4 linked regions of the Arabidopsis thaliana genome follow. The protein of the gene in region 2 interacts with the protein of the main gene of each other region in a pairwise test. Each region holds a gene or a part of one and is shown on either strand. Other genes may lie near its edges.

Evidence for each region.
Region 1: the proteins of PIP1;5 (region 2) and FOLK interact in a protein complementation assay, tested with the Arabidopsis thaliana proteins (one large-scale study listed by BioGRID).
Region 3: the proteins of PIP1;5 (region 2) and AT2G15280 interact in a protein complementation assay, tested with the Arabidopsis thaliana proteins (one large-scale study listed by BioGRID).
Region 4: the proteins of PIP1;5 (region 2) and AT2G24170 interact in a protein complementation assay, tested with the Arabidopsis thaliana proteins (one large-scale study listed by BioGRID).

What each region holds. Positions count from the first base shown.
Region 1 is NC_003076.8:23,666,861-23,674,658, reverse strand, and holds FOLK (Phosphatidate cytidylyltransferase family protein), read right to left. Parts: upstream 4,393-7,798; 5' UTR 4,147-4,392; coding exon 3,832-4,146; intron 3,029-3,831; coding exon 2,961-3,028; intron 2,875-2,960; coding exon 2,743-2,874; intron 2,604-2,742; coding exon 2,488-2,603; intron 2,382-2,487; coding exon 2,089-2,381; 3' UTR 1,790-2,088; downstream 1-1,789. Other genes in the region: AT5G58575 (SAGA-associated factor-like protein), read right to left, coding at 1-55, 222-260; AT5G58570 (uncharacterized protein), read left to right, coding at 1,529-1,789; EOL2 (ETO1-like 2), read left to right, coding at 6,185-7,798. UniProt on the Arabidopsis thaliana protein: Kinase involved in negative regulation of abscisic acid (ABA) signaling. Substrate preference is farnesol > geraniol > geranylgeraniol, but has no activity with farnesyl phosphate. Can use CTP > ATP > GTP = UTP as phosphoryl donor.
Region 2 is NC_003075.7:12,217,219-12,224,301, reverse strand, and holds PIP1;5 (plasma membrane intrinsic protein 1;5), read right to left. Parts: upstream 3,662-7,083; 5' UTR 3,511-3,661; coding exon 3,180-3,510; intron 2,907-3,179; coding exon 2,611-2,906; intron 2,517-2,610; coding exon 2,376-2,516; intron 2,243-2,375; coding exon 2,147-2,242; 3' UTR 1,834-2,146; downstream 1-1,833. Other genes in the region: TET5 (tetraspanin5), read right to left, coding at 1-208; AT4G23390 (NEP-interacting protein, putative (DUF239)), read left to right, coding at 4,615-4,773, 4,912-4,998, 5,078-5,305, 5,415-5,564, 5,643-5,696, 5,777-5,923, 6,009-6,389. UniProt on the Arabidopsis thaliana protein: Aquaporins facilitate the transport of water and small neutral solutes across cell membranes.
Region 3 is NC_003071.7:6,636,599-6,644,501, reverse strand, and holds AT2G15280 (Reticulon family protein), read right to left. Parts: upstream 4,530-7,903; 5' UTR 4,312-4,529; coding exon 4,272-4,311; intron 4,181-4,271; coding exon 4,000-4,180; intron 3,692-3,999; coding exon 3,550-3,691; intron 3,473-3,549; coding exon 3,403-3,472; intron 3,261-3,402; coding exon 3,088-3,260; intron 2,527-3,087; 3' UTR 2,149-2,526; downstream 1-2,148. Other genes in the region: TIC21 (translocon at inner membrane of chloroplasts 21), read left to right, coding at 491-805, 1,059-1,316, 1,589-1,792, 1,877-1,990; AT2G15270 (PRKR-interacting protein), read right to left, coding at 5,250-5,582, 6,284-6,535.
Region 4 is NC_003071.7:10,272,034-10,280,314, forward strand, and holds AT2G24170 (Endomembrane protein 70 protein family), read right to left. Parts: upstream 5,234-8,281; 5' UTR 5,156-5,233; intron 5,089-5,155; 5' UTR 4,862-5,088; coding exon 4,754-4,861; intron 4,410-4,753; coding exon 4,245-4,409; intron 4,149-4,244; coding exon 4,039-4,148; intron 3,955-4,038; coding exon 3,846-3,954; intron 3,773-3,845; coding exon 3,660-3,772; intron 3,583-3,659; coding exon 2,274-3,582; 3' UTR 2,066-2,273; downstream 1-2,065.

The sequences.
Region 1 (7,798 bases), on a different chromosome or scaffold from region 2:
ATGCTACATCAGCTATCACCGAATCCACAAGATCAAGAAAAATTTGGGACGAAAGCTGCAAGCAAAGTTCAAGAGCAAAGAAACGTAAGTCTAACTTAGTTTCCACTAGGCAGTTACTTTAACAAGGAGGAGAAATCTTAATAGTTTTACATAGAACGAGAATGTGGAGCATATAAACAGTAATTGAATTCATCATGAGATGAGACTAAATGAACAAATACCTGAGCATGGGAAGATTTATTATCCTCTGCGCCAGACATTGGAATCCTCTAAATACGAGATTGCTCAACAAAATGTCTGCGAGAAAATCAAAACCAAATCGTAAAGAGAGATTTCCATCACCATCAGGAGCCCTAGAAAAAGCGAATTTCTCCAGAAATCAAAAAAGTCGATCATCACTATCTAACAGATTCGTTTTGGAGTTTCTGTGATAGGAAACTCTACTACTCATTCCTCACAACTTTACTGTTTCAGGTTCCAAATCAAATCATCCAATAAAACAAACCCAGTCTACAAGCATAGATACAGAAACGAAATCGCCGTAGAATCAGAAAGCTTACACTGTAGAGCCGAGTCGCGACGGTGAACGGAGGAGGGAGAGAGAGTTTTTTCTCTCTCGATCTGTTGAATTTTACATCGGCGAAGAAACCACCAATCATGACTTGCCACGGCACCCAGGCCAAGCTAAAATATTAAACGGCAAGCGTTTCTTTACTTAATCATATAAACGACACGGTTTTCCTTCTCACCGTCACCTCGAATAGAAAGAAAACGACACTCCACGTCATCTAATTTCTGTTATGATTTTTTTATTAAAAGCCCATCTCATGGCCCATTCAAATCTCTTTTTTTTTTTTGCAGCACCCATGCAAAATCTCAGTAGAGCACACCTCGATTATAGCTTCTTCTTCTAGTTTGGCACAATTGCTTTTTTGTTTCTTCTGAAAATGTCTCTTTCAGAACCATTCAATTAATACAAGCATACCACGTTTTCTTCTATTTCGAGAATGCGTGAAGAAGTTAGCAATTTTAAATGGGCCAAATCAAAGAGTAATTAATTTTTGTATTCATATAAATAAGGGCAGAAGAAGAAGCAACTAACATGAGACACAAGGTCGCTTCTCTCTTGAGGAAATTTCCGGGAAAGTCACGGAGTCGGTTATGGGAGCCACACGAAAAGGATTTTCTTCAAATTACGAAAACGACGTCGCACGTAAGATCCAAAAAGACCCAATCCAACGCCCCATATGTAGAGAGCAATCACTAACGAACGTCCCAGTCTCACTTTCTACACCAACCTTTATACAAAAATCCATCTACTAAATTATCCCAAAGAAATATATTTAAACTCTTCTTTTCTTCTGTGGTGACATATTGTTTTCATTTGATACATATTCTCCCAAGTCAAATTTATATTTCAGAGAGGAAAAAGAAACAGACACAAATCCCTCCAAGATGATGCATGACAGTATGAAGTAGGTATGAGCAAAGGAGTTGAGATTTGAGAATATTTGAGATTACCTCTCTAATGGTAACTTCTACGGTGGAGGCCTCGAGTCCTGAAGATGGCGAACGACTTACTTTCACTAGAGACAGACACTACGCCATGCATGGTGAGATCTTGACGGTAGTTCTTGTCATCAGCTTCGCCGTCTTCCTCTTGTTCCTCGTGTTGCTTCCTTGTCTGAAACGCCGTTACAGTCACCAGTCCGACCTGTCAGAAGAGGCTTCCTGGAGCGGGACACTCAAGCCCTCACCTGTTGTAAGCAAACAATCCATTTCCACATAGCCATAGGCCAAATAACAAACAAACATGTATTGAATATCTGTTACAAAAGAGTATCTGTTACAAATTGTAGAAGCGTCACTGTTCGTCATCATATGTCTCACTAATGGATAGAACATTACAACATTGTACCCAACTGCAATTGCAGCTGAAAAATAAGATTTGTGGACAACAACAATATGAGATGTTTCACTAATACGTACATACAGAAGAAGATGGGAACAATGAATGCAGTTTTACCTCCATATCAGCAATCAAGCTCGACCCTTTATTTGATGATACATAACAACGAGAGGGTATTATTAGAAGAGTAAGAATCCGGCCAAGGCAGAGGTTAAGGAAATGGTGAGATTGTCGTCAATGTCGGTGCTTATTGGGAGTGATTCCACAAGAGCTGATGCTATAGAGATGACGAGGAAACGAAGAATCATTCCCCCGCTATCCTCGATGTAACCAAATGAAGCAAAGTAGTACATATACGCAACAGATGCTAGAAACCCGGCGGTGGCCATTCCAATGCTACCAGCAAATGATTTGTTTTTGTTGTAAGGAAGCTTCTCTGTTCCAAACCGCCGACCCACAATGTCAGCCATACCTTTTAACAGCAAGTGTGTGTATTAGAATCATCATTCAATGGATTCAAATTCCTAAGACAAAAGTTGCTAATGTTATTGGATCAAACCAGAGCTAACTGTACTTACCATCTCCTGCGCAAAGGTTGCATATCACCGCAATCGCGATTGGGGATGATTTCCAATAGTAGATGCAGGCTGATGTGATTGACAGTACATAGTAAAGCGGCCCCTTAAGTAGTTCCCTGATGCAGAGAGCGACTACAGACACTTTGTGAAGTGACAAAAGCAATAATAAACAGACAAACCGAATTTTGATCATAGATACCAAGAATGCTAAGAGATTGTTGGATATTGTGACAGACACTTGTTCGATTCAGCTACCTGCGATCTCCATGTCTGCTCATTGACTTGATTGTTCCTTCGTCGTGGTACACTCCAAGCCCCAGCAATAGCATCCTTACTATATTGAGTCCAGGTACAAGAGATGCGAAAAGTGCTCCTTGGATTCCAGAACTGAAACAATTGATATCGAAATAAACTGGTGAAGCAGAAAAGCAAGCTGGTACATCAAAATCGATCCTTTCACTCCGTATTATTACCTGAACAGCGGCCAGCAAAGCATAAAAACTAGCCCAATATTTATATGCACAAGCTTCCGGATGAGTTTCTGAAAAATAAGAAATAACACCAATGTCAACCACAGATGTTAAACCAATGCCTCATTCAATAAAACCATGAAAGTGGAGTCAGTCCTACATCAGACAGCCTGTGGATCTTATAAATTCAATGGGTTCTGAGATGATATCTTAATCACGATAAGGTCAGAGAAACAAAATCAAGTAGCTGAAGCCATACAGGTATTCCCAAACCAAAAATGTTTAATAGAATTTTTGCTAATCATAGATAATTCCTCTACTCCTAACCAAATTACTTGAAGAAAAACAAGTCACTGCGGAGAAACACATAAGAGAAAGGAAAAAAAAACAAGCCATGTCCAATATGTGTATAGACTGACTCATACGAAGAAATAATCCTTCAAAGTATAGCAAAGAAATTGTGCAACATTTAAACCTACAAAATTCATATATATCATAAATATGGTTGAATCTTCAAGTTACGATGAGATTGTGATTATACCGCACGAATTTCAAAAAAATTTCATCCCCAAATTGGGTTCTGAGCAATTTTCCCACTAATTTACCAGATATGGGGTTACTTTCCCATTGTTTATCGCAGTGTTCTTCCACCCCAAAATAGGTATCCATTCACATTCTATAATTTCTTGAACTAATAAGATTTATTATCCTCGCCATTAATGCCATCCATTACTCGATAAAGCTTACTACTACCATTACTCTGAATCCAAAGTTGCTTTAACCAGAAATTGCAGAATCGAGCAACATTCCAAAAACGTTATTCAACAAATCGACGCGTGTATAATTTAATTAAGTGAATTGAATGATCGAAAACCTGGTCGAAGATGCCACGTTTGCCAATCTCTCCCCAGAAACCGAGGCACGAGAACGCAACGATGCTAGTGACTCCAAACGCGCAGACATCTGATAAAACCGAATTTTCCGGAAACATCACGGCGGCGAGTGAAGACTTGCGGATTTTGGTGGCCGGAAACCTAGAGCTCGATCTAAAGCTAGTCGCGATTCGGACAGTGAGGAATCGTGGAATCGGAGAGAAGAAGGCGAGAGAAGGAGGAGAGTCAACGAGAGGAGATGAAATGAAAGAGCAGCAGAGAACGGAGAGCTTTGTAGTAGTACTAGTAGTTGCCATTTTCTGCAACACTAGAAAACACGACCTTTTCTTCGATTACGTTTTCATTTATTTTTTTTGACAGTAACTGGTTGGTAGTTGTTGTTGCTCAAGCACACAAAATTTGGTTTGTTTTATTGTTTACCAAAAAGATGGTGAAAAGTGGATATTTATTTCCCCAAAAGGAGTGTTTTACTTTATCTGGTCACATATGGATTAAAGCAATTTTAGTTTCGTTCTATTTGGATTCGGCTAGAATGGTTCATGACATGGTGGTGTTCGTTTGAGGAAACGCATAATTTGTTATTGTGGGCCTAGTTTGGGCTTTATATTCGCTAAATAATTTGGGCTGGTATAAGTCAACTAGACGGACCACAATTTGATTTCATCAAATAATTTTTCATGATTAATAAATCCCTAATTTAGTTACGAAACACAATTCAATTATTGTGCTACTCAGATTCGAGAAACATAAAAAAAAAAAAAAAAAAAGTGATTCAGATTCCCTCACATGGGTTGCCGAGACACATGACCACACGTCTCTTGCCTTGTTTAATCTTTTATCAATTTTGCATCAACTTGTATATACCATAAGAAAATTATTTTAATTGATTTCAATGTGAGATTTTCTTTAGTATTTTTTGCATCAAATAATGCCAACCTAATCCTCAATTATCCATCTTTATTTTTTTTCTGAAACAATCTTATATTATTTATCTGTTGGCAAAAGAAAAAAAATCCTCAATTATTTCGCAAATGGTATATATGTTTATCTTTAAAGAGTACACTTGCATGTGTTTTCCAGGTGTGCGGGCAAAAGAACATCAGAATTGGTTCTGGATATAGTTCTCTCCACTTTTTATTTGTTATTGTTTTAATACAGTACGTTTTATGAGAGTTTTTTATATATATAATAAATTATGCGTTTCCTGATAGTTGTTGGTCCAATATCGAGAACAAAAAAAACTAACTACAAGCTAAAAACCTAAAACTATGAAGATCTCAGAAAATATAAATATACACGCTCACGTTAGCGAGTAAAAAAGTAGACACCAGATTAACAAATGATTAGTGTGATCACAGTAAAGAAATGTTTTGCAAAATTTTAAGCAATTTTTTGAAATCATGTTGTATGTAATAAATTGAGTAAATTCATGCTGTACATAAATTAAAGACCATTTCTTTGTTAGTCATTGAAATCATAACCAATCAACCAATAAAACTGAATTTTTTTCGTTCATTAGAGAGATAAGTTAATATCTTCAAAGTTTAATGTTAAGCTCAATTGTTTAGATAGGAGATAACCGATAAGAAACCACATAACTAGTTAACCTACCTATCTTGGCATCACATGAATCAATGACGTTGGATAGTCAGAGAGGCTTATTTTAATTATACCCGAAACGAACCAACCATCTATAATTCTCTAAACTATATTTAATCATCATATAACTCTGTAATAAACCCAAATTTTCACAAATTAAAAGCCATACCAATATCTTCAAATATGGAAAAAAATAACAATTTAACAAAGAAACAAAATATTTCCTCACCAAAAAAACAGAAACAAAATATTGTTTTAAAAAAGGAAAGTGGTCTTTACACAAAAAGGAAAGAGAAAGGAAAGTGGTCTGGTTCGTATCGCACCCAATAAGAACCACCAACTGTTGAAGTTCGTAAACTGTTCCACAAAAAAATGCATAAAAGAAAGAAAAACAGATATGAGATTCGACCATTTTTTTTCCATATAAATGTTTTTTGGGTTTGCAAAAATCGACGCCATTACTCTTTTTTCTCCCCAAATTATTGACCTTTTTATAAAAATAATTTATATTCTCAATCACACTTCATCGTCTTCTTCTTCCTCTCTCTCTCTCTCTCCTTTTTGTCTCTGCACTGTGTGTTGTCACCGGAGACAGAGCTTGTGTTTTCAACTCTCTCTCTCTCTCTCTCTCTCTCTCTCTCTCTCTCTCTCTCTCTCTCTTGCTCTCTCCGTCTCCCTCACTCTCTCTTTACTTCAAAATCAAACCCTTTTCTCAGATTTCTGTGATATAGCAAAATGCGCAATCTCAAACTCTTTGAGAGATTTAAAAGCACTCAAGTCCACGCCTTTACTACACAAGACTCTCCCTCTACAAGCAGCAATGGTAGCCCTCGAATGATGAAGTTCCTTGGGCATCCCAAATCCAAATCTCGTTCACTTCTCCCTCATGGCTTTCCCACCACAGACCTCCTCGAGCCTCCCTTGGACTCTTACCTCAAACCTATCGATTTGGTGGAGTCATTATCAAATCTATATCGGAGAATCGAGTCCAGTTCGGAATCCGAGGCATCGATGCTCTACCTTGAGCAGTACGCTGTTCTCCGCAGTCTCGGTGATGCCAAGCTCTTGCGTAGGTGCCTTCTCAACGCTAGGAGGCACGCCATTGATGTCCCTTGTAAGGTTGTTTTCTCTGCTTGGTTGAGATTTTTTAGGAGAGAACATGAACTTGTGGGAGTTGAATCTATGGATTGTAATGGGCTTGCTTCTGAATGTCCGAAGACTAGTTTGACTCATGGTTGTGATTTGAATGTAGACGACGAGGGTTGTGAATGTTCTACGGTATGTGAGGATGAATTTGGTAGTGATGACGTTAAAATCTCTAAGGCTGATGAGTTTTCGGGTCTAGATGAGGTTAGCGATATTTCCTTCTGCGTAGGTTCAGAGAAGGCTAAGTGTGTTAGGTCGAGAATCGCAGCGCTTTCGCGTCCTTTTGAGGCCATGTTGTATGGTTCTTTCGTGGAATCAACAACTTCTGAGATTGATTTCTCGGAAAATGGCATCTCTATTGAGGCAATGTTGGCACTCAACATATATAGTAGAATCAAAAGAGTTGATCTGTTTCGTGTGGAAACTGTATTTGAGCTGCTTCAATTAGCCAGCAAATTCTGTTGCGATGATCTGAAGTCTGAATGTGAGGCTCGCTTGGCTGCTTCTGTCACTGACCTTGATAAAGCTTTAACCTTTGTAGAGTACGCGTTGGAGGAACGCACAACGCTTCTCTTATCTGCTTGCTTGCAGGTGTTTCTGAGAGAGCTTCCTCAGTCTCTTCACAATCCCAAAGTGATGAGATTCTTCTGCAGTTCCGAAGCAAAAGAGCAATTAGCTTTTCTGGGTTCAGAGTGTGTGTTCCTGTTGTACTACTTCCTCAGCCAAGTAGGCATGGAAGAGAAACTCACGACGGACACTATGCTGATATTGCTAGAGAGAACTCGAGAGTTTGCTCGTACAAACTGGCAAAAGGCTTTGTCTTTGCATCAAATGGGATGTGTTCTGTTTGAGAGAAAGGATTACAAAGCAGCCCAGTTTCATTTCAGATTAGCTTCAAGCTTAGGGCATGTCTACTCTTTGGCTGGGGTATCAAGAACTGAATATAAACAAGGGAAGAGGTATTCGGCGTACAGGCTCATGAACTTTCTCATCTCTAATCACAAGCCACATGGATGGATGTACCAGGAGAGGTCTCTGTACAATGTTGGAGTTGAGAAACTAAAAGATTTAGCAACCGCCACTGAACTTGACCCGACACTGTCTTTTCCGTACAAGTACAGAGCCGTAATGAAATTCGAACAGAAGCAGATTAAAGAAGCCTTCCAAGAGATTGATAGATTAATTCAGTTCAAGCTTAGTCCA
Region 2 (7,083 bases):
CCCAAGCCACGTCACAACATGCACCGACTAGACCAGCTACTGACAAGATCAAGATAGCTAGGCCTAAGATCAAAAGTGGCTTCTGAAGAAAATGCTCGCATGTCGTTTTGCTCCTACCCATCCATAGAGCTGATCCTAATAGAACTATGGAGGAAATTAGTGTTAGGATATTCAAGAATCCTATCACTGTATTGCTCATTCTGTTCATTTTCCTTCTCTCTCCTTTTTTATTTGTTACTAGATGATTCTTTGAATCTTTTGTGTGTGTATGTGTGCTGAAAATTCTTGCTGGCTTGTCTCTCTCGATATATATCTTAATCACATATCATTCAGCTACTTTATAGTAGTTGAGATTTTTATACATTAAAAACAATGTTGTTGATATACATTCACACGTATGACTGAAATACAAAAAACAAAATCTTGACAAAACAAAAGAAAAAGAAAGTGGATGGAATTATTTTGTTATCTTTTTATCTAATTTCTTGGTGTGTTTGCTACTTTTAATGTGATAATGTATGCGTCTTCACTTGCTTTAATCTCATCACTTTTGAATTTTGATGAGTGGCTTTACCTTTTTTCGCAATTTATATTTAAAAGTTATGTATTGTTTTTTTTAAAAAATAATTTCCTCGATTTGGATATTTGAAGCTTTGTATCATATGAATTCAAAATGTTGGTTTAAGAGTATTTTTCGTAAATGTGGGCTTTTTGTTTTTTGGTTGGAACTTGGCGATTAAGAAACCGCTTTCATTTGGCTCTAATATCGGTAAAAAGAAAGTTCATGCCATACTTCACAAAGTGGGATGATCATAAGCCAAACTTCTTAACCATTAAGTAACCTTTTCCCGCAACACCTTTATATTACTTTTTGTTTATGGATTAAGATTATGTTAAATATATACAACACCCACAATAATTGAAAAACTTTGATTATTTAAGATAAAACATCAACAAAATATTTTGAAGATGATTAGGACATCTAGCCTAGATATTTGTGTAACTAGTAACATCAGTATGTTACCATCCGGATTCAAACTTGCATATTTTTGAAAAGGAAAGTTGACATCTTCATCTTTTTCGTATTGATTGGTTTAAGGGTTTTGTTTTGTATTGCAAGATACTCGATGTTTTAAACAATCAACTTTTTTTAATCTTGATCCACTACATCACCACTCTTAATTCCCACTAGTCTCAAAGATTATGTAGAAAGTTTAAAGATTTTCCCAAATAACAATAAACAACTCTGATATTTGTTTGATAAATGTAAACAACCCGAGTACTACATGACCAAAGGGCAAATGCAAATTACTTATTCTCTTAAAGTCAAGCTCAAGCTGAAGTCTTGCACTTTCTTGGCCCATCCATATTGCTACAACTCTTTTTTGGATGATAGTCATGTAGACTCTTTCACATTTCTTGGCCCATTAGATTCTTTCATGACTATCATCCATATTACAAGTTGCTGCATCAAACATGTGAAATATGTTATCATTCATGTGAAAGATGTTACTAAATCTGGTTCTTTTATTATTTTACTGGAACCCTACCATGTGGAACAGAACATGCATTTTCATGACTATCAACCAAAACCAAAACCAAAACCAAAACCCCGAACTGAACATCATCCAAGAATATCTATAACTGAAACTGTGATTCAAAAGTTGAAAATTCAGTTATAAGCATGTTATAAAAAGTGGAAAATGAAAGACTCTTATAGAAGAAAGAAGATGAAGAAATACTTGCGATGATGGTGTTAGACCAGTTCAGTTCGGCTTAGATGTTGTTCTATCAAATTCTACACATTTTACAATTATGTTGCTAATGTTTGGTATTGGAAACACTTATTGACAATGTTAGCAACTTAGCATACCTATGTCCAGTTCAGTTATGTCTCTGTGATATTCAAACAAGATTCTGAGCTTACACATGTACACAATGTATTCTTCCATTGACATAATTAATGTTACAAGATACAATGCCATTGATACATAATAGATTACACATTTACACTGTTACAAGATCAAAGCTCTAGTGGTACATATAGAGATCATCACACATGACATAGGAAACAAGAAGAAAGCATATAGAATTAAAGATTGATATATTCTTAGCTTGATGATGATCAGAGAATATGTAGGAAACTTTATGTCTTGGACTTGAAAGGAATAGCTCTGATGACTATCTGATGGTACAGAGCAGCAAGCGCAGCACCAATGAATGGACCGACCCAGAAGATCCACTGCAGACACATAAAACAAAAGAGACAACAGATAAGAGCAGAATTATCAAAAATTCTGAGTTGCTATTTAGATGCAATTCATAACTTATCATACTTAGCACAACCGTTGATGTAATTAAAGAGGAAAACTTACATGGTCATCCCAAGCATGATCCTTGTTGTAGATGATGGCAGCTCCGAGACTCCTGGCCGGGTTAATGCCAGTTCCAGTAATTGGGATGGTAGCCAAGTGCACCAAGAAGACAGCAAACCCAATTGGAAGCGGAGCCAAGATCTGCAAAATGTTCGATAACCAAAAAACACATGAGCTCTATGTGAAGAATATGAACTCAACACAACTCAAGGATACTAGAGAATTAGCAACATACAGGGACATGAGAGTCTCTGGCACTTCTCTTAGCATCAGTAGCTGAGAAAACAGTGTAAACCAGAACAAAAGTTCCAACAATCTCTGCACCAAGACCTGAACCCTTTGTGTAACCATGAGCCACCACATTAGCTCCACCGCCATTCGTCTGGTACAGCCCTGGTTGAAACCCTTTAACCACACCAGCACCACATATAGCTCCAAGGCACTGCATTACTATGTAGAACAGAGCTCTGGTTAAAGATAGCTTCCTCGCCAAGAACAAACCAAAAGTCACCGCCGGATTAATATGTCCTCCTGCTCATTACCAAACCAATTCGCCACACACAAGTCAAAATCAGATTATGATCTTCACACAGAAGAAACAAAGTGGGGCAAACTAACCAAAGTTTCAAACTTTAAGAAGAAAATTACTCAAAGTTTCAATCTTTAAATGTGAAATTACTTTTAAGTATCAAACTTTCTTCATTATATCCAAGTTTCTCACAACCAAGTAACCCTAATTCCAGATTCCTTCAACCTAAATTCGAAAACTTTAAACAAAATTCAGAGCAAGAACAGATCCTGAACCTGAGATTCCAGCAGTACAGTAAACAAGAGCAAAGATCATGCCACCAAAAGCCCAAGCGATGCCTTGGATTCCAACAGAGGCACACATATTGGGAGCTCTCTTAACACCCATGACTGTCAAAACGGTGACGTAGAGGAAAAGGAAAGTGGCTATGAACTCAGCTATCCCTGCTCTGTAGAAAGACCAAGATTTGAGCTCGCCGGGTTCGAAAAACGGCGCCGGTGGTGGTTCCTTATAGTCCTTGCTCTCCGTCTGAGCCGCCGTACCGATCGGCTGTCTCTCTGGGAACTTGTTGGCTCCAACATTGACGTCTTCTTCTTTGCCTTCCATGTTTCTCTCTCACTCTATCACCACCAACTTTAGTTTGTTGTCTCTGTAAATTTGATGACTGGTGTATGTGGAGGTTTTATAGTTTGGTTCATTTAGGCAAAAATAATTATTAATTAAATTTGCTACTAATTTCCAAAATCTTATATTTGTTATTCATGCAAATTTCTAAATTATCAGAAAATGTGTAAATAAATAAATATAGTTAATTACTAATTATAGAAAATAAATTAGTGAATTTAGACTAAATTAACTTAATCTGTCTAAAATTTTTGTGATAGATAATTTTAATTGCAATGGTTGATATAGAGTCGCACTCAAGTCTCTTTTGATTGATGATTTGCATTTTTTTTATTGTCAATCATAACTCGTGGTTTATAAACCTACATTTTCCATGTAAGACTTTTAATTCGTTTAATGTTTAATAACGGTTTTCTATCTAGTTAGTCTTTGAGCATAATACTTAAATTAAAAAATGTTGTTTTAAGATAAGAATTAGAGGTAGGTAGTTGAAATGGACTGGACAACTAGGCGCGAAAACGATGCATAGAAGAAGATGGACATAAGATTAAGCAACTACCATATAATTTGTTAAAACAGAATATATTACAGCTCAAATGATGTGGACAATTCTAACATAATGTTTCTATCAATTATGTGAATGATATTATAGAGGAAATTATTGGATGTCAAAAATATTATAGATGAAAGAAGACACTTCACATGGAAAATGTTCGCCTTATCGATCTCTACTGTTTATAGATCAATTCATGGTTTATTTAAGTTCCTTTGTGTCACTACTGTGTTTTTTTTTTATATTGGGCTTTGATCTAAAAACTTTTTTTGGGGTCAATTGATCCATAAACAAGCTTTTCCTTTTTCTTATGGAATATACTTTATACAAAAAAAAGTACATTAAAAAAAAGAGAAATCTTACTTTAGCATCTACATATGGGCAATAGAGATAGAGGGAGATACATTTGTCATTTACTGTGTATAGGTTCTTTGGTGGTTATAAATGATCTCAGATTTATGTGACACAATAAATATAGTTGTTCTGCTTCATTTTTTCTTTTGAAAAATATAGATTAAGATCCTTGATTCATCATGAGGTATTCCAATAAACTAATTATCTTGCTAACTTTATCAACAATAGCTCTCATTTTAGTTGGAGAGAGTCACAAAACAATACCTTCGAAAGAGGAGAAAGAAGAGATGAAGAAGCTACTTACCTATCTCAATAAACCTGCAGTCAAAAGTTTCCAAGTAAATTTAGCCTTTCTTTTCTTAAATTTTCATAAAACATTACAAAAATTGTTGACTATTGTAACAATATTACAACTATCATCAAGTTACATTTATTTTCAGACCACACCAATTTTTTCTTGCTTTTGATTTCGACAGACTGAACATGGTTATATATTTGACTGCATCGACATTCAAAAACAGCTAGCTTTTGATCATCCTTTGCTCAAGAACCATTCTATTAAGGTTTATCCTACAAACCACGAAAAAATATCTATAAATAAAATTCTTATTAATGTTTGGATGGATTGAAATATAAATGCAGTTGAAACCCACAACTATACCTAAATGGACCAAAGATAACAACGCTTCTCATAAAACTAGTTCTCTGCCATTTCGACAAGATGACATAAGTTGTCCAGTTGGGACAGTCATTGTCAAAAGAATTATACTTGAAGATCTTATACGAGCTCAACGTTTGCAATCCTTACGATTCAACTATCCAGGACAAGTGTCTGCAAAGGACAAGAAAATTGATTTAACTGGTCATCATGTAAGAATCATTTCTTATTACACGTAGTTGAATTGAGATCGCCTTGTAACTTGTCCACAATGCTTATAATATTTTTTGATTATCTATTCTTTTTCTCTTCGGATTTTAGTTTGCCACAATTAGTTACAAAGATGACCACTATGGAGCAAAAGGAAACATTAACGTATGGAATCCAAACGTCTCACCTGATCAATTTAGTCTTGCGGCTATGGCTGTATCAGGCAACAAAGGATTTCAAAGCATTTCTGCTGGATGGATTGTAAGTCAAGCTAGACCCTATTTTTACTTATTTTCTAAATCAAAAATTTGGAACTAACATTCCAAAATATGTTTTTAGGTGTATCCAGGGCTAAATCAGAATAATCAAAGTCACTTGTTCACTTACTGGACTGTAAGTTTTTCAAAACTTCTTAAAGTCTTGACTCTTAAATGTGGCATTCATATTATGGCTACTATCTTTGATTTAAATAGGCGGATGGAAATAATAAGACTCATTGCTACAATACACTACGTCCTGGGTTTGTACACGTGAGCACCAAGTATGCAATTGGAATGCTCGCCCAACCAGTTTCCATTTATGATGGTCAACAATATCAACTAGAAGTCAGCATATATCAGGTATATATATAAATATACAACATTAGCTTTCTTCAAACTAATATCGAAAAGTCAAGATTATGTTAACAACTTTTGATTTAAGCAGGATCATGTTACAAGAGATTGGTGGTTTGTGCTAAATAACGAGCCAATTGGATACTGGCCAAAATCATTGTTCACACGTCAAGGTTTAGCTGATGGAGCGAGTGCCGTGTTTTGGGGAGGAGAAGTGTACAGTTCAGTGAAAGAGAAGAGCCCAAGCATGGGAAGTGGACATTTCCCACAAGAGGGTTTCAAGAAAGCAGCCTATGTGAATGGTTTAAAAATAATCACTGATATAACAAAAGAAGTTTCGAGTCCGTTAGCTTCAGCTTTAAAGACATTCGCAAGCAGTCCAAACTGTTATAATGTCCAAAAAATATTAGGTGTTGGTGAATTTTGGTCAAGAGCTATTTTATTTGGAGGACCTGGAGGATGCATATTTTAGTTTACTTGTCTTAAGAACTTTATACACTTAGTGTATATGTCCTCTGCTTAGTTTTAGTTAAACAATAAAATGGATTTTTAATCTTATAATTATCTTGATTTTTAGATAATTATTTTTTTTTCACTTTTTCTTTTGTGAGGATCAAGTATATATGATCAGATACAAACATAAACTTTTTTTTTTTAGTAAACAGATTATAATTTTTTTTTTTTAATAGATTTCTTCCTAATTGTTAATTTGATTTTAAGTTGGGCTTTTTTTTTGGTTAAAAAGGCGGCTGCATTTGTCAGGGTTAGGGTTTTGATTAATCTCCTCTAGAACTATATTTAGAGCTATATATAAGCAGATAAGGGATTGCACGATTTCTCAATAGTTCCGTCGCTGCGTTTCCATCACGTCGATTGCTGTCAGAGCCACGCCTATGAAGAATTTGTGCGGCTCTGATACCAATTGATGCTATGGAAACATCGATATTGCCTGATTCCGTGTTTCCTTTTACCTTGTTGTTAACGCTTCTATGTCTTAAGAAGACGACACAAGTTAACTAATTCATGAGATTTCTAAAGAGGACGGTATGTTTCTCCCTTAGTTTCTTGGAGCAGAGTTTCATGATTGGATCGATCTTACATATATCTAAGACTTAGGCTATATAATTTTCTTTTTTTTCACAAAATAGCACTTTTGTGTCGTCTTG
Region 3 (7,903 bases), on a different chromosome or scaffold from region 2:
CTATGTTTAAGGGATTGCCCTCTTTCGAAACTGGTTTGAAATTTCTTGCTTTGTAATTCTAGTTGTGATCCTTGTTTCCCTTTGTTAGGGCCTAGTTTTCGGGGAAGTTTCGTTTTCCTCCGGCTCTTGTCTCCGGGGACTGTTTCGTTGTCCGCTGGCTTTAGCTTCCTTTGTTTGGGCATTTGTAATCTCACCATAATTTCATATCATGCTTTTCAATGAAATTCAGGTGACAAAAAAAAAACTAAATCTTTATATATAACATTGTCTATTTTATGGTAGAAACTCCGTAAAAGATTGTAAAAATTATGCTAAAGAAAAAGATATTCTGTTGGACCAAAAAAACAAAGAATGAAGAAAAGAAAATATTCTCAATGGGCCGTTAGGTAGCAAAAGCAAAAAGCCCATTGCAACTGTGAAGAATAGACGAAGCCTTAAAAGAACACCAATTCGCTACTTTACTCTTAAAATAAACTCTCCACTAAAAAATATGCAATCACTACTCTTGCCGCCGGCGAGTTCCTCCGGCGTATCCGCCGTCGCGCTACGGCCAGGTTTCCAGCACTCATTTAACCACCAAAGCCTCTCTACTCGCTCCCTGCCATTGTTTAATCCACTTCTCTTAGCTCCGAAGAAGAAAACCACCATCTCCTCATATCAATCGCCACCGTCTCTGTCCGTCTACGGTTTCCAAATCGGAGGATCTAAACCTAGTTTCACACCATCCACGGTGGCATTTTCATATCCGACTTCTCCGTCTTCCGTTCCCGGTGATAATGAGGTCGACAAAGCAAAACTCGCTCAGGTTCTCTATCCATTTCTTCGCCTTTTTCACAAGCTAGCTGAAATTGAATGTAGAAAGAGAGAAAATGATCTAACAAATCGAAATTAGTTACAATCTGCTTTTGATTTTAGGAAGTAGATAACAATTTAGGATTTGAGTTTTCAGAATTGAAATTTTGAAAAGTGCTTAGTGTGAAGAATCTTTATGCAGTAACTGTATTGGTGTGGAAGAGATTTTTTTTGTTTTATGAGTATGGGTGGTTTATTATTCACAGGTTGCAAAGAGATTGGAGAAGACTTCAAGGTACTTTAAGAGACTAGGGAGTATTGGTTTCTGGGGGCAGCTTGTGTCAACTGTGGTTGCAGCTGTGATTCTATCCTTCTCCATTGTTGTAACTGGGAAACCTACTTCACCTGCTACTTTCTATGCTACTGCTAGTGGGATTGCTGCTGCGTTTGTCTCGGTTTTCTGGTCGTTTGGGTATATTCGGCTCTCCGAGAGGCTCCGTCGAACTTCCATCGACCCTGCCAAGGTAAATATGTCGTTCTCTTCATTGTAGTTCAATCCTAATCAGTGAACACCCATACAATAGCGCTTGTAGGTACGTATGGTCAACTTTGTTTGTTAAAGACCGGTCTGTGAACCTAGATTTAGTAGCAGCTCTTGAACCTTGGATCATGTCCAGTCAGGTTGCCCAGGTCACCCAATAGCGGTTACTACTCCTACTTGAGTCCTGATACTCAGTTTTGTAGTTTGGTGTCTAAAGGAAAAAATCCAGTTTTAATAAAGGTTGTGTTGTTGCAGGCGCCGCCTCGCGCTGATGTTGTGAAAGGTTTGAGGAGCGGGATTATGGTAAATATTTTGGGAATGGGATCAGCACTACTCGGGATGCAAGCAACAGTTGGATTTTTAGTTGCAAAGGCTTTAACAACTTCAGCAAACCCTTTCTACCAAGGAGTCTCTCAGGGATACAGTCCCGTTCTTGCTCTTGATGTCTTCCTAGTTCAGGTATTAAGCTCTAATTGTGTTCTTATTATAAGTCTTACTTTATTTGTGTAAGTTCACTTTTTGACTTGAGAGCCATTTGTGCAGGCATCGGCGAACACCTTACTCTCTCATTTCCTTGGTCTTGTTTGCTCGTTGGAGCTGTTGCGGTCTGTGACAGTGCCCAATTCGGAATCTGTCGTAGTTCCTAAGGTTGCTTGAGTTTCTGCCTTTTTCAGCCTCACTTCATGTATTCATAAACGTTGAAAGCTGGGGCTGTTGTTTCCTTTTATAACCGAGAACCAACGATTGCGGATTCAATGGCTTTGTTAGCAACATTATTGAACTACATAACTCAAAATCACAATTCAACATAAGAAGATAAAAAACTGAAGAACATTTTTCATTCTTTCAATTCCAGTATCTCGTAAATCACATAAGAGACTAACTTGTTTTTTTATTGTCTCCATATAAATTTCAAGCACTAGTCTCGAGCTTAAAACCATTTGCTAGCCCGAAGCTGCCCCAATACGCTGATTAGAATCACATTTAGTTCCTGAAGTTACACAGACATGGACTTCTCTATCCACAGTGTCTATATAAAGAGAGAATCAAATGAAGGGTTGGTTCATGACAAAACCACACTCAAGTCTCAACTTCTCTAATTCATCTACAATCATAGCTAGTTACGTCGCCTGTTGCACTCTTTACTTAGTTTTACCTTCCCACTCAGTCCAATTCTGTCTTGTTTTCTTTCACTGCATCCAACGAAAAGAGTACTAACAGATTAGTATTGGTCTATGAAGAGGATATCACTTTGGTGTGATATGTTCAAAGAAGCAAATATGCAACTGGTATCAACACAGAACACGCAAAATTGATGTACCACTGATATCTATATAAATACTTAACAGTCAACATCTAAGCATATTTTGTTGATGTGTTGTAGTTCTATTTTATAAACAATATGGCTGATGAGATTCTAACCGGTGAACTCCTCATCTAATTGAATACACCATCAAAGAAACTTGATTAATGTGATGAGTCTCAAAACTCTCTACTAATGCTCAAACAAAACCCTGCGCAAGTCTATAATCCCCTCCTAATGTATTCTCCACACTCTTTTTTAAAATTTTCAGCTATCAGCTAATGTAAGCTCTGTTGTTGAGCTGGCGAAGCTATGCCTGAACCAACAACCCTAGGCTAGTTGAAATATTAGAGCACTAGGCTTAACAAGAACACCTTTATCAAAGGAACAATGAGCAATGTATCACAGGACTAACTGAATAAAATGGTTTAAGAAGGTTCAGTATGCTTGCCTATTGCATCTTCTTTATCTTATTTGTGGGCTTAGCAATAATCTTCTGTAGTAATCTTTCATCGATCTTCCTGTACTGTGTCTGAATGACTCGATGAGTTAAAGATAGCTTCTCGTCAATAAGATCCTGGTATCTCTCGTACAAAAAGGGAATCAACAGACTCAGAACAACACCTGTCCATTTATATCACACAGAGAAAGTCAATTAGCAAGTCTTGAGTACAAAATGTATACTCTTCCCCTTGTGGAGATACTTATAGGTTCTATCAATAATGAACAATGTAAAGAACAAAGGAAAAACAAAAAAACTACTCACCAAGATAGAGTATTGTGAGGAAGTTTAAGAAATTTCCAACAAATGATACTGTCCACAACACAACACTCACCTACCATAAGCAATCTCAATGTATCAATTTCAAGTAGAAATCTATTGGAAAAAAACAAAAGGGACAAGTTTGCTGACCCGAAAGAGTTGCTTTGCATTTCTTCCCACGTAAATCTCACGAGCAACAGCGAGCACGGTATTAATCCAGACTCGTATAGCATCAGCCACCATAAACACAAATTCCTCAGTGATTTCAAGATTAGGTAGTTGAGGCATAGGCCTAGTCAATAACAATCACAGTAAATTTCAGATTCAGCTTTAGCACAGAGGTAATGCAAACTTTTCTTCATACTTAACCATATCTTATCTACAAATTAGATACCTATAGAAAAGAATAGCAGATTTGGCCCAGAGGCATAGGTCTGGTCAAGAAATTTCAGATTCAGCTTTAGCAAACATACTTAAACCTGTAACCATTATCTTCTTATCTACAACAAACTTATGCAAACATTGTGACATTCTTCTTCACTAAAACTATGCAAACCAAAAATAATGTGACATTATACAATCAGGTTTAGATGATGATACCTATTGAAGAGAATAGCAGATTTGGCCCAGAGGAAGAGTATAACGACGGAGAGAAGCTGAGTATTAACAACAAAGGGGAAGAAACTGTATCCACATTTCTCAAAGAGGAACCATAACAATGTCGTTGATCCAAGTAGAAGAAACCCTCCGCGTCGATTCTTCCACATGATTAAATCTGCAACTGCATCAGTTCAGAAATCATATGAATCGGTAGATCTACACGTTAATGGAGTCGTAGAACAATGAAACAATGAGAGAAAGAGAGAAGAAACCTGAGCCGAATCGTATCGATTGATGAACAGATTCTTCCATTGCAGCGAATCAATATCTCTCACGAATCCCAAAATTGTTTTGAGTCTCTTCGTTTTACGCACATAGTCGTCTCTTCAATTTAAGCAGTTTGTGCGGTCTATGTCACCATTCATGGCCTTAACTAAATTTCTTTTTTGCTTTTAAACCATTCTTATCTTTGAGTAATTGATCTGATTCTATCTTTTGGCATTTCTTTTTTTTTTGGTTCACAATTTTTGTTGTTCCTTTAATCTCCATTTTCCATTGTGAACAATATATACATTACTTTGGAATATAGAGATGTTAAATCGGTGTATCAACAATTCAAAGATGGGGTATTTTTATATTAAACGGAATGCTTTTTGCTGGAACAAGTTGTGGTAGTAGCTTAGTCTGGAAAGCTACTACACACTCTGAGTCTGATGATCCATTCAAATACTTGACATCTCTCGAGGGACATCATAGTGGTGAAGTCACTTGTTTTGTACTTTTGTTGTTGGAGGTCAAGTGCTATACTCTGTCGATAAAACAATCAAGGTGTGGGATCTCAACACCCTGCAATGTATAATGACCTTGAAGCAACATACTGGCACTGTAACATCACTCTTATGTTGGGACAAATGTCTGATATCGTCTTCCTTGGATGGGACCACACGATTGGCACACTCACAATTGGTCCTCAAGGATTGCTATTCAGTGGACACAAAAGTGGGAACTTGCGTGTATGGAGCTTAGCTGCTGGCACCAAAGTTTAGTCGTTTTAACAATTTTCGACTAAAGAATTTTGGTTTACTTGTCAATATACATTGGTGGTTGATTTGATGAACCCTAATCCAATACAAAAGCCGATTAAAACCTGCTCCATTTCTTTTTCCCGTACATTGTTGAAAACAAAAGGAAAGAAAGAAACGAATCTCACAAAGATAGTTTTGGAATCATGTAACATGTCACAATAAAAGCTATGAACGGTTCTCTTGGAACTTGATATTAAACATTGGACGTAAAGGTTCTAGCACAGACTCTTCTTCTACTTCATCTTCACCTTCGTCAGATGATATTTCTCCTACTCTCGGTTGCTTTACTTCTTCCTCAGTAGTGTTTGGTTTTTGCTTCTTCTCCTGTTTCTTCTGCTTCTTCTTTTGGCGTTTCAAACGCTTCTTCGATGTTTTTTCCTCTGCAGCTTTCTGTTTCTCTTCTCTTCTTATAGTAAACTCTGCCATTTTTAACCGCTTGTTATAGTCAATATCCATCCTTGTTAGTCGGTCTTGTTCTCTCCGCCTCATTTGCCGGTACTGTAATAGAAAAACAATGCATCAGTATTGCACAAGTTTAGATGTCTAGTATAATAAGAAAATGATGTACACACGCTTTATCAATAATCAGGGCCACACTTCAGATAACACTCAGCCACAACCTATAGAATCAACACAACGACCATCAACCATTAATTACTAATACCCACATGAGCTTCTCGCAACTAATACTCTCAGTTCAAGCTCTACCGACTAAGTAATCAACGTCACAAAACACTTATAGACTAAGAAATTTAAGATTCCTATCACATGTACAACAAGGAACTTCTAGTAATTAATCGACTATAGCTTCGAATCCACACTTAGCCATGCCTAAGAACAAAAGACCAGGCATTCTTCACAAACAATCCAGCTGATTTTCAGTTACTGAAGAACAGAATTCATATACAGAAGTTGAAATCATTCACAGATCACAGCCATCAAAAGACTAATACAGGATAGTCTATGGAACATTCTATCAAACTCTTATATAGGCATAAAGGCATTGTGATCCATCACAAAACTAAGAAAACAATGTCAACACAAAGTCCACTAAGATAATTCAGATCCCAACAATGAACTTCTCGTAATTGATTACCACACCTAACTACGCCTAATAACAAAATACAAAGCCTTATCTGCAGTTTCAGATTCCAGATACAAAGCCTTATCGATTTAAGAGAAAGGCTTAGTTTAGTTACCTGATGGAAATCTCCAGAACCAGAACCAGCGGAACTTCCAGAAGTATTACTAACACGAACAGGAACGTTCTCAAGGATACGTCGGAGCTTTACTTCTAGATCTTCTTCATCTTCAAGCATCACCGGCGGTTTATACTCAACGATAGACGAAGATCCTCCGTGATCAGCCTTCTTCGCTTCCATCAATGCCGACGCCGTAGTGGCAGCAACCACCAATCGTGTGTCGCCTTGCTTTGGCTTCCCGGACGACATTGTCGAAACCCTAATTCCGGTCACACAATTTGGGGATTTTTTTTCCTCTACGATTTTTCGTCAAGACGATAATTTATTAATTTTGCTTTGAGGTCTGTAAAAATTATTGTCGTCTACATATAAAAATAGAAGGGCTTTTTGGGCTTGGGCTGGGTTTGTCTATTTTTTGGGTTGGGTGTATTGGACTTACCTCCTCCATGGTTTTTTTTTGGAGTTAAGTAAATCTAATAATAATAAGACAATCTCAATAAATAGTCTTTTACATTTTTTTAATGGTTGCGTTTTTTCTTTGTCATCTGAATTTTATTAGAAACCAAAGTAGGATACAAGTTCAAATGGTTACGTTTATATATCGTAAATTTTCGTTAACAAATTTACTGTAACTTTTTCGGGTTGCGTCTCTTAATTGTAACTTTTAGTCGAAACATTTACGGTTGTTCTTTTATCGCAAGCACTTTTGAATGGTTGTGTTTGTTTATCGCAACTTTTCGATAGAATATTTATGAGTTTTTTGGGTTTTTCTCGGTTGTATCTTTTTATCGTATTTTTTCAAAGAAATTTGACGGTTGTGTCTTTATATCGCAAACACTTCTGAACGGTTATGTTTTTATCGTAAATTTTTATTAAATATTTACGGGGTTTTCTGATTTTTTTCGTTCTGTCTTTTTATCGTGTATTTTCATTGAAATATAGTCAGGACTTTTTTACGGTTATATCTTTTTTAGTTGGGTATCTTTTTACGATTGTATCTGAATTGTTGTATCTTTTTATATAACGTAACTTTTTGTTACATATTTATGGTTATGTTTTTTGGTTGTATCTTTTTATCGCATATTTTGTTGAAATATTTACGGTTATTTTTCACAGTTGTTTTTTTTATCGTATCTCATCATTAAAATACTCTTTAACGTTAAAGTCGATGGTAACTTTTGTTCATAACTCTTCAACATACATTTTTTTATATTTTCATTATTAAAATATGAAACAAATTTTTATATCCGCTTAGTTGAACTACTGCAACATTTGGTTTACTAACAAATCATTGTAATTTTCTGTTTATTTTAGGAACTATTGTAACCCTTAATATTAATAAAAACCGTTGCAACATCTAGTATATTTGATATCTATAATCGTGTTTCTCGGTATAAAACTTCACAAAATATATTTTTAATTTGTGTAAATGAATTTTCGCAAACCATTTAATTGAACTAACATTTAATTTATTTGACTAATCTTTGCAAATTTTGATTTATTTTATGAATCGTTGTGACATTTAGTTTGTTTGACGAACGCACAACCTTTGGCATATTTAATATATGTGGTCGCTTGTCTCTATATAAATTTTTTTTTTTTTTTAACATCTTCTTT
Region 4 (8,281 bases), on a different chromosome or scaffold from region 2:
GTTTATACATTATCAAGGTATAATTATTAAATATTTGTCTGTTGAAAAACATGCTAAACTGGCCGGCAAGAGCTGCTTTTTCAGAGCCATAAAGCCATCTAATATTCAGTGCAAAACCAATGAAATTCTACTTATGAGATTTTGGCCATTCCACTGAATCTCTCTAGTTATCCATTACTACCAGAAAGTAAATCAAGAAACAAAGAACAAGATATGCTTCATTTCCTCACATGATTAAGAGGGGAAATTTTTGTCTTGACTCCTTCGAAATACTCAGAAAATTGTGGATTTCATTCAAATAAATCCACAAATCATTTCGAATCAAATTTCTGGAATTTCCGAAAGAAATCACTAGAATAGTGAAAGCAAAGACTTTTAGCATCTTATTCAGACAATTTAGTAATTAGGTCTAAACGGGCTACCTTTTTAGTATTTTTCAGATCCATTATTAGTAGTCAAATCTAAACGGGTCAACCTATTATATAGTGTCTTTAAACGGGTTCGGGTCCACAAAATAAGACCGTATCCTTTCAGGCCAGCGGGCTTTATGTCCATTTCAACATCATGTGTAACATGTCCAAGAAGAAAGAGTGTTTGGAGATATTCGGCCTCTGTGGGGAAGCAAAATTTCTATTGACTTTTCTTATAAATCCAATGGGGAAACGGTCCTTGGAATGAATTTGACTCAAGACTCAATACACGCATTGGAGCTCTATCTAGAACTTCTAATGACTTTCCAATACTACTAAAAGAGTTGTGAGAAAGCGATAACCATGTCAATCTTGATAAGCAACCTGGTACTGTTCCTTCCATCTTATTGTAGGAAAGATCAAGGATATAGAGGTTATGTAACTGTGATATAGATTTTGGGATTGTCCCGATGAAATTGTTGTTTGTAAGACTGAACATTTTGCGCTTCGAAAATTTAGATATAGATTCAGGGACTGAGCCATCAAATTTGTTATCGCCAAGGTGTATACCAATAAGCCTAGGCGATGAAGTTGTATTCCCAAACTCTATATGTCCCTTGAACTGGTTCTCCCACTTAAGTTGTTTTCACTAAGGTCTAGGTGCCTAAGATGGGTTAAGTTTCCAAATGAATATGGAACTTGACCTACTAATCTATTATTGAGAAGGTTAAGTTTTGTGAGATGGGAAAGGTTTCCGAATAAAGAAGGAATCTCCCCATAGAGATAGCAAGTTGAAATGGTTAATTTTTGAAGATGTTGGAGTTTAAAAAGACCACTATTTGGTTTCAAGGAGTTGTTGAGAAAGACGTAATTAAGGTAAAGTGAAATCACCTTGCCAGACTTAGCATCGCACTTGACACCCTTCCAATAACAACAATCACTGCTCTTGTTCCATAAACTTAATGATGCAAAATAAGGATCTAGCTTGGATTGATTGATCGGAAACTCGTGTTTGAACTCTTAAAGAGCATCCCTTTGGTCATGGCGGCAATAGTGAAGCGTAGGAGAAGCAAATGTGTGTAGAACAAAGAAAACCAAAAAGAAGGAATACAACGTAACACCAGAAAAGCAATAAGATTGTTGTGGACTCATAATTACTTTCTGTGTGTATGTGTGTGCAGTGTGTGGTAAGTAATAGGTTATGACTATGGCTTCTGAGTATGCCTTTAATAAGAAAAAAGGAAAATAAAAACACTTCTGGAGTTTAGTTCTTGACTTCGAGAACAATCTATCGTGTGAACTCGTCGGACTTCTTATCCTCCTAATTCTTCATGCATCTCTGCTCAGTGATTTGTGCCACTGGTCCATATAGACTACTGATTGACTCATTCAATTCTAAATTATCCACCACATACGTTTCTTTTTGTTTTTGTTTATCTACCACATACTATCTTGACTTGACCTTGTCGATCGAGTTCATTATTTTTTATTTCATTTTTAATATTCTGAAAACTATGTTCCTAAAAACATGAGGTACGCAGTTTCATGAATTCCAAAAAAAAATTGTCGATTAGAAACAGTTATTAAAAAAATGTAAACTGTATGACCTTGCAGTAGTAACAAACTTAGTTTCTAATCTACTAAGAATGGAAGAAATAAAAACTGAGATTGCTGATAAAAGTGTGTGACAAGTTGCTGTTATTATGAGACAATTGTTGTACTCTTGAGCTCTATGTATGTTTACAATAAAATAAAAGTTTATGTCTACATATCTCAAAATCATCACAAAATTTAAAAGGAGGAAACAAAAGAACGAAAAAGAACAAGATTTAAGATACAGCTTACTAAGAAGGTGATTAAAGATCAATCGATTTTAACCGAAGAGTAGATAAGCCTGGTGAACCAAAAGCATGCGTAGAAACCAATTGCACCAGTAAAGACGAAGAATACGTATGAAACTATGAGCATGTACCCAAAGTAGAGCACTGCAGAGACGAGCTTTGTGATCTCAAGTTTGGTGTAGAAGTAAAAGACTGCGTAAAGAAAGAGGTAAACCGCGGAAGAGCCTGATGTTAAGTAAGATCTCCACCACCATTGATAGTCTTCACTACACAGCTGAAAATAACAGAGGACGACCGTGATCTCTGCGCAAGTGATGATCAAAATGATGAAGACGATGAAGAGGAAGCCGAATATGTAGTAGAACTGATGTAGCCATATTGAGGTGAGTATGAAGAAGAGCTCGATGAAGACTGCGCCAAATGGGAGAATGCCTCCAATCAAAATGGAGAAGATTGGGTTCATGTACCAGGCCTGTGTTGGGATCTGCCGCGGGATCTTGTTGGTTTTCACTGGATCTTCCGGTGCAGGTTTTCTGAAACCAATGTAGCCACCGATGAAAACAAGTGGAACAGAGATACCAAACCAGAGGACAACCAAAGCAAACATTGTACCAAATGGGACTGCACCGGATGATTTTTGTCCCCAGATTATCGCATTAAGGACAAAGAAGGCGACAAAGACGGTAGCGGGAAACATGAATGCGGTTTTCAGAGCGTTTCTTTTCCATTCGGTTCCTCTTAACGTCTTGTAGAGGCGTGAAGACGCGTATCCTGCCAATAGTCCCATGAAAACCCAAAGCAAAAGCATAGCCGTCATAAGACCACCACGGTTTGAAGGAGATAAAAAGCCAAGACAAGCAAAGATCATGGTGACAAGAATCATTCCAAAGCATTGAACTCCAGTGCCTGCATAAACACAAAGCAACTCCGGGTTTGTTGGCGGTCTGAAAACATCTCCGTGTACCAATTTCCAACCCGTCTCTTCGAGGGCCTCTTCATGACTCTCTAACTGATTGTAGTTGGAAATATCTCGGTAGAGTGTTCTTAGCATGATCATAGCGACCATACCAGAGAGGAAAAGAACAATCATCATAGAATTAACGATTGAGAACCAATGAATCTGATCATCAGCCATTAGAAGGTAAGTGTCCCACCTAGACGCCCATTTCACCTCACTTTCCTGGAAGTCAACATCATATGTGAAGATAATCTCGTTCCCTTCTTCAACCTCCTGAGGAGACTCAGAGTTAGTGACTGCACGCTTTGTATGCGGATCACAAGTCGTTAACCGAGCCTTTTCATTCCATTGACCTTCATATTCATGTTTGACACTGCATCGAGATAAAATCAGTAGATGTTAGTCGCTTACACAATACAGAGTCAAAGTCCTTAAATCACAAAAAGCTACCTGAACGGCTTGACTTCAAAGCCAACGATTCTTGAAGAATCGGTCTGTATATCTCTGTGATACCTAACAGTGAAGGTCAAGTGGTTGTGGATAAAATACTTCTCCTCCTTTTTCTACAAGAAAATCAAATAAATAAGAACTCTTTCCATTGAAACATATTCAGAAAAGGTGATGATGAGCTCTTACGCCAGCAAAGATTCCCTTGAGACCAACATGGAAACCATGCTGATACACTACAACATTGTCCTGATCTGGCCTTTGCACCGGAACAACTAGGGGAAGGTTGTCCAAAATCCTGCATAAGAAATCAATCTTCCTCATAAAAACAGAAGAAAAACAAAACACATTCAGTCGAAGGCGACAAAATCAATCTCCTCACATGTTAACTCGATATTCATCAGCAATCTTCTCCTTAAACGCCTTTGCGGTTTTCTTATCAAGCTTCACACGACAAACCGCAGCACACATCTGCGATTCCCTCATTTTAAACTGCAACAAAGAAACAAACAGACATTAAAAACAACTCAACAACTACCACTTAACCAAGACAGATAGAGAAAGAACCAAGAAGAAACAAGAACATACCACAAAAGGAGAGTTCTCAATTCGATCACCACGAAGAACTTCACCGAGATTCTCAGCACTATCAACAATATGTTCTGGACGACAATAAGGAAGAGAATAATAGGAATATGGAAGCTGAGTCTTTGTAGATGTCAATTTATTAACTTTCACCATCAATGCATCTCCCTGAAAAACAAAACCATAACTCCAAAGTTTGAACCTTTATAGATAATGACCATTATACATTCTTCTACTCCAAAAGCTAGATTCACACAGAAACAAGTCTAAACAATGGCTAATACATATAGACTAATGAAACATTCTCTTTAAACACAACACTCAGTGGTAACTGAAGATCAAAATTACCCAAATCTCATAAAACAGAGCCATAGATCCAATTTTAACAAGATTACTTGATCGATTGCGTTGGATCTAAATCAGAAAAAAATCTAGACCCAGTGTGAATCAAAGCTCTAAGAAGAAGCTGCATTTGTGAAATACAGATACAGAGATGATTTTATGTGGCTGACCATTTGGAAATCTTGTGGAGCGACGCCGGGAAGGTAAAATCCATGGATATGGACATTGAGGGAGAAGAATAAGACAAGGGTGAAGATCAAAATCCGAACTTTCGCCATGGATTTGCTCGATTTCGTCTTCTTCTTCGGAGAGTGAAATTTCTTAAATGAAGGAGAAGAGAGTGGGAAGAAACATGGCAATTGGACGATTTATGGCCGTTGGATATTTTAGTATCTCGTTTGATTTAATCAACGGTTGAGATTTCCTAAGTTGGAGCTGTCGGTGATTCTTCTTCTTAAGGTAATGAAATATCAAAGTCAACACTTTTTAAGGTAAAAAAATAAAACTTTGAATAGACAATAATTAAAATCAAAGTCCAATTTACGAGAAATCTAATTTTTAAATAAGGAAACAATTTTTTTTTTTTTTTGTTAATTTAAGTAGATTAGATGAAACTTGTAAATGTAGCAAAGTAGAAATGAGTTAGTGTGGAGGATACGAAATAATTATGAAAAAGTATTCAAAGAATAAAAGAAAAAAATGGATTTAAATCAATTAGAAGACAAAATCCATTTGGTAAATGAAGGTGACCTCTTAACTATTCTAGCAGATTATGAAACCTTACACACACCAGCAACCACCTTGACATATAATTAAATGTACATTACCAATAAATACATGTAAGAAAAAAGCACACACACACACAATACAAATCCGCATTAGATAAATGTAAGTCTTTCTTTTACAGACTGTTTTCAAATTGAAAACGGACGGTTTTCTTCTGGAGATAACTAGTCCGGTATAAATGTAAGCATATAATAGTAATCGCGGAAACTAACTTCTATTATTTCTATTCTATTATAAAGTAAAAGCAGTCGTTGGCAACACAACATTAGAATAATTTGAAAAGATAAGAAAAATTAACATAGCATTTGATATGGGCCAACTCTTTGATGATATTGGGATCGGGAACATGGACTTTGGTATTCTGAGGTATAATATAGTTTTCACGAGTAATGTAGGCATTGTCGTGTGCACCACCTCCGAAATAAATGATTACAAAAGTTCAGTATTATAAAAAATGGTCTAGGCGGTCGTTTACACTCTATCTAGGCACTAGACTCTCAGGTAACGCCTAAATAATCGCTTCGATTGTCTAAAATAACATAAATTGCCATATTTTCTATGTTCACTTGTCCATTTATTATCAATTTTAGGGTCTAAATGATTGTTGTGGTTAAGGTGGACAAATTCGTTTGTGTATTTGACCACGTTTTATTTACCATTTCACAAATTACTTCTGTGTGGATTTAAAAAAGAAAACTGATGCGGATCAACCACATACCGTTTTTACATATAAATAGAGTTGGTTGCGACGGTTTGTTGTCTACTTTAAAAATAGTTCGGATTAAACCATTGACGGATTTATCCATCTTAACTGCCGTAACCATTCAAACTTGTGAGATGAGAGAAGTAACAATCAAAAATACCAATTGATTGCTCGTATCTTACTAGAATTACTGACAAATTCTTCTATAAATGCAACGTTTCTCAAAGAATCTCAAGGTTAAGCTTATTATTGACACTTATATAAACTTCTATTTATTTATTTATTTAAGTAAATAATCAAAATTGCATGAGCATGTTGGCTATAAGAGAAAAATTGCATGAGAATGGCATTCTTATAGATTGATGAAATTCGATTGGTCGTGATTGGATATTCTATACAAGAAAAAAATATTGATACGCTGAGGTAGTCTAAATAGATTATAGTGTTTCATAGAACTAAGAAGGAATTATCGAAAGCAGTCTAATACTTTTTTAATCTTTAAATCATTTGAGGTTCGGGGTTCACGACGAGTGCAACGAACATGAAGACAGACTTTTTTTCTTCAATTTCATCAAACTTTTTTTTTCTTTCTGTTTTATATGCTTCTGCTTCATCACCCTTTTTTCTTTGGGTTTTAAATGTTTCTGGTTCATTCACCTTTTTTCTATGTGGCTTAGGTGCTCCTATTTCATCTCTTAGTTTTCTTTCCAGTTTTTTAGGTCCTTTTGGTTCATTGTTAGCTTGTTGTCGTTTAGATTTAGCATTTTTCAACTTAATGACTTTCTGATATTCCAGATTATTAGATCTAAAATACTCGGAGTCAAACGAATCATATCAGTAACAAAATACAAAACTAGTCACTACTTGCGAATCAATCAAACAAAAATAAAACATCTAATCATGGATGTGTATTCACAAATAACTTACCATTACAAGTGTGTAGTTTACAAATGCTCTGTTTTGACTTAAAATCAAAAGTTTCGACGATTTAATTTTTTTTGATGTGGTCATAAAAAGAAACTTGAAGAAATAGAGAATGATTCTTCAGATTTCTTGTTAAGTGATCGTGAAATACTTTGATTAGGGTTTTTGAACTGCACAAAAAATTCTAACAGAGACAAAAGGATTGAAATCCTCTATGAAAAAACATTATGTTTTAAAAGAGTTGATTTTTCTTTTACGGGCAACCCACAATCTGCGACGAGTTTATCCACATGAATTTGTGATCTACGATGGATCTATCCATGAAGCCCACTAATTTATATACAAAAAAACCAACGTCCAATCCGCCTCGACAGAACTAACCCAACAGATTTTAATGCCTAAAACATATTTAAGTTTATTTAAAATTGTTAAGCATTTTTAAATCTATTTCTAATTAAAAGTCACAAAAAACAAAGCTAAAATTCTAACCGTTCACTAATAAGACATTAATCTATGAAATAACCACTAGATTACGAAACATTTTCGAAATTTGTTACCTTTTACAACTATCTATAAATTTGTGTGCCTAAAGCATGGACTTCAGCCGCTTTAGCCAAGGGCAGAGCTGAAATTTTCGTTCATCAATTTACATTCTAGAAAGAAGTCCAGGACACAATAATGGTTGAGTCATGACTCATGAGGTGGCCAGTAGAACTGTTCCCTTCTTTGATGTGTTTGTGTCACGTTGATAACGGGTGGACATTTTATTGGTTTTGTGAGATAAATTGTTGAAAATCGTAGCGAAGCAAGTTGATAGGGTTCAATCATATCTCGTATTATCTACTATATATAAAACATTGTAGAAAAGTAAAATATTTTCATTTAAAATATTATAAAACAGAGAAGAAAACTTATACTATTTGACCAAGGAAAAAAACTACCTACTCACGACACGACCATCACGTTTATAATGTTAATACACAGTTACACCATACATTTTTTCATTGTAGTTCTATACAATAATATATCATCGTTTGATCTAACAAGTATTCGATAGATAGTGGGAACTTTTTTTTCCCTTTTGGCCTTATATTTAAGAACATGGAGCCTGTGTTTCTAAAATTCTATCTAAAAAAGTATATTTTGTATTGATCATATCTGAAATTGCATATATTGTAAAATATTGTGTACAAAAGGATCCGGTCCAAGATTAAACACACAATACTTACTGAGACTAAAAGGGGCTAAACCACAAGAACAAATCCTTGAAATTGCAATGGTTAAA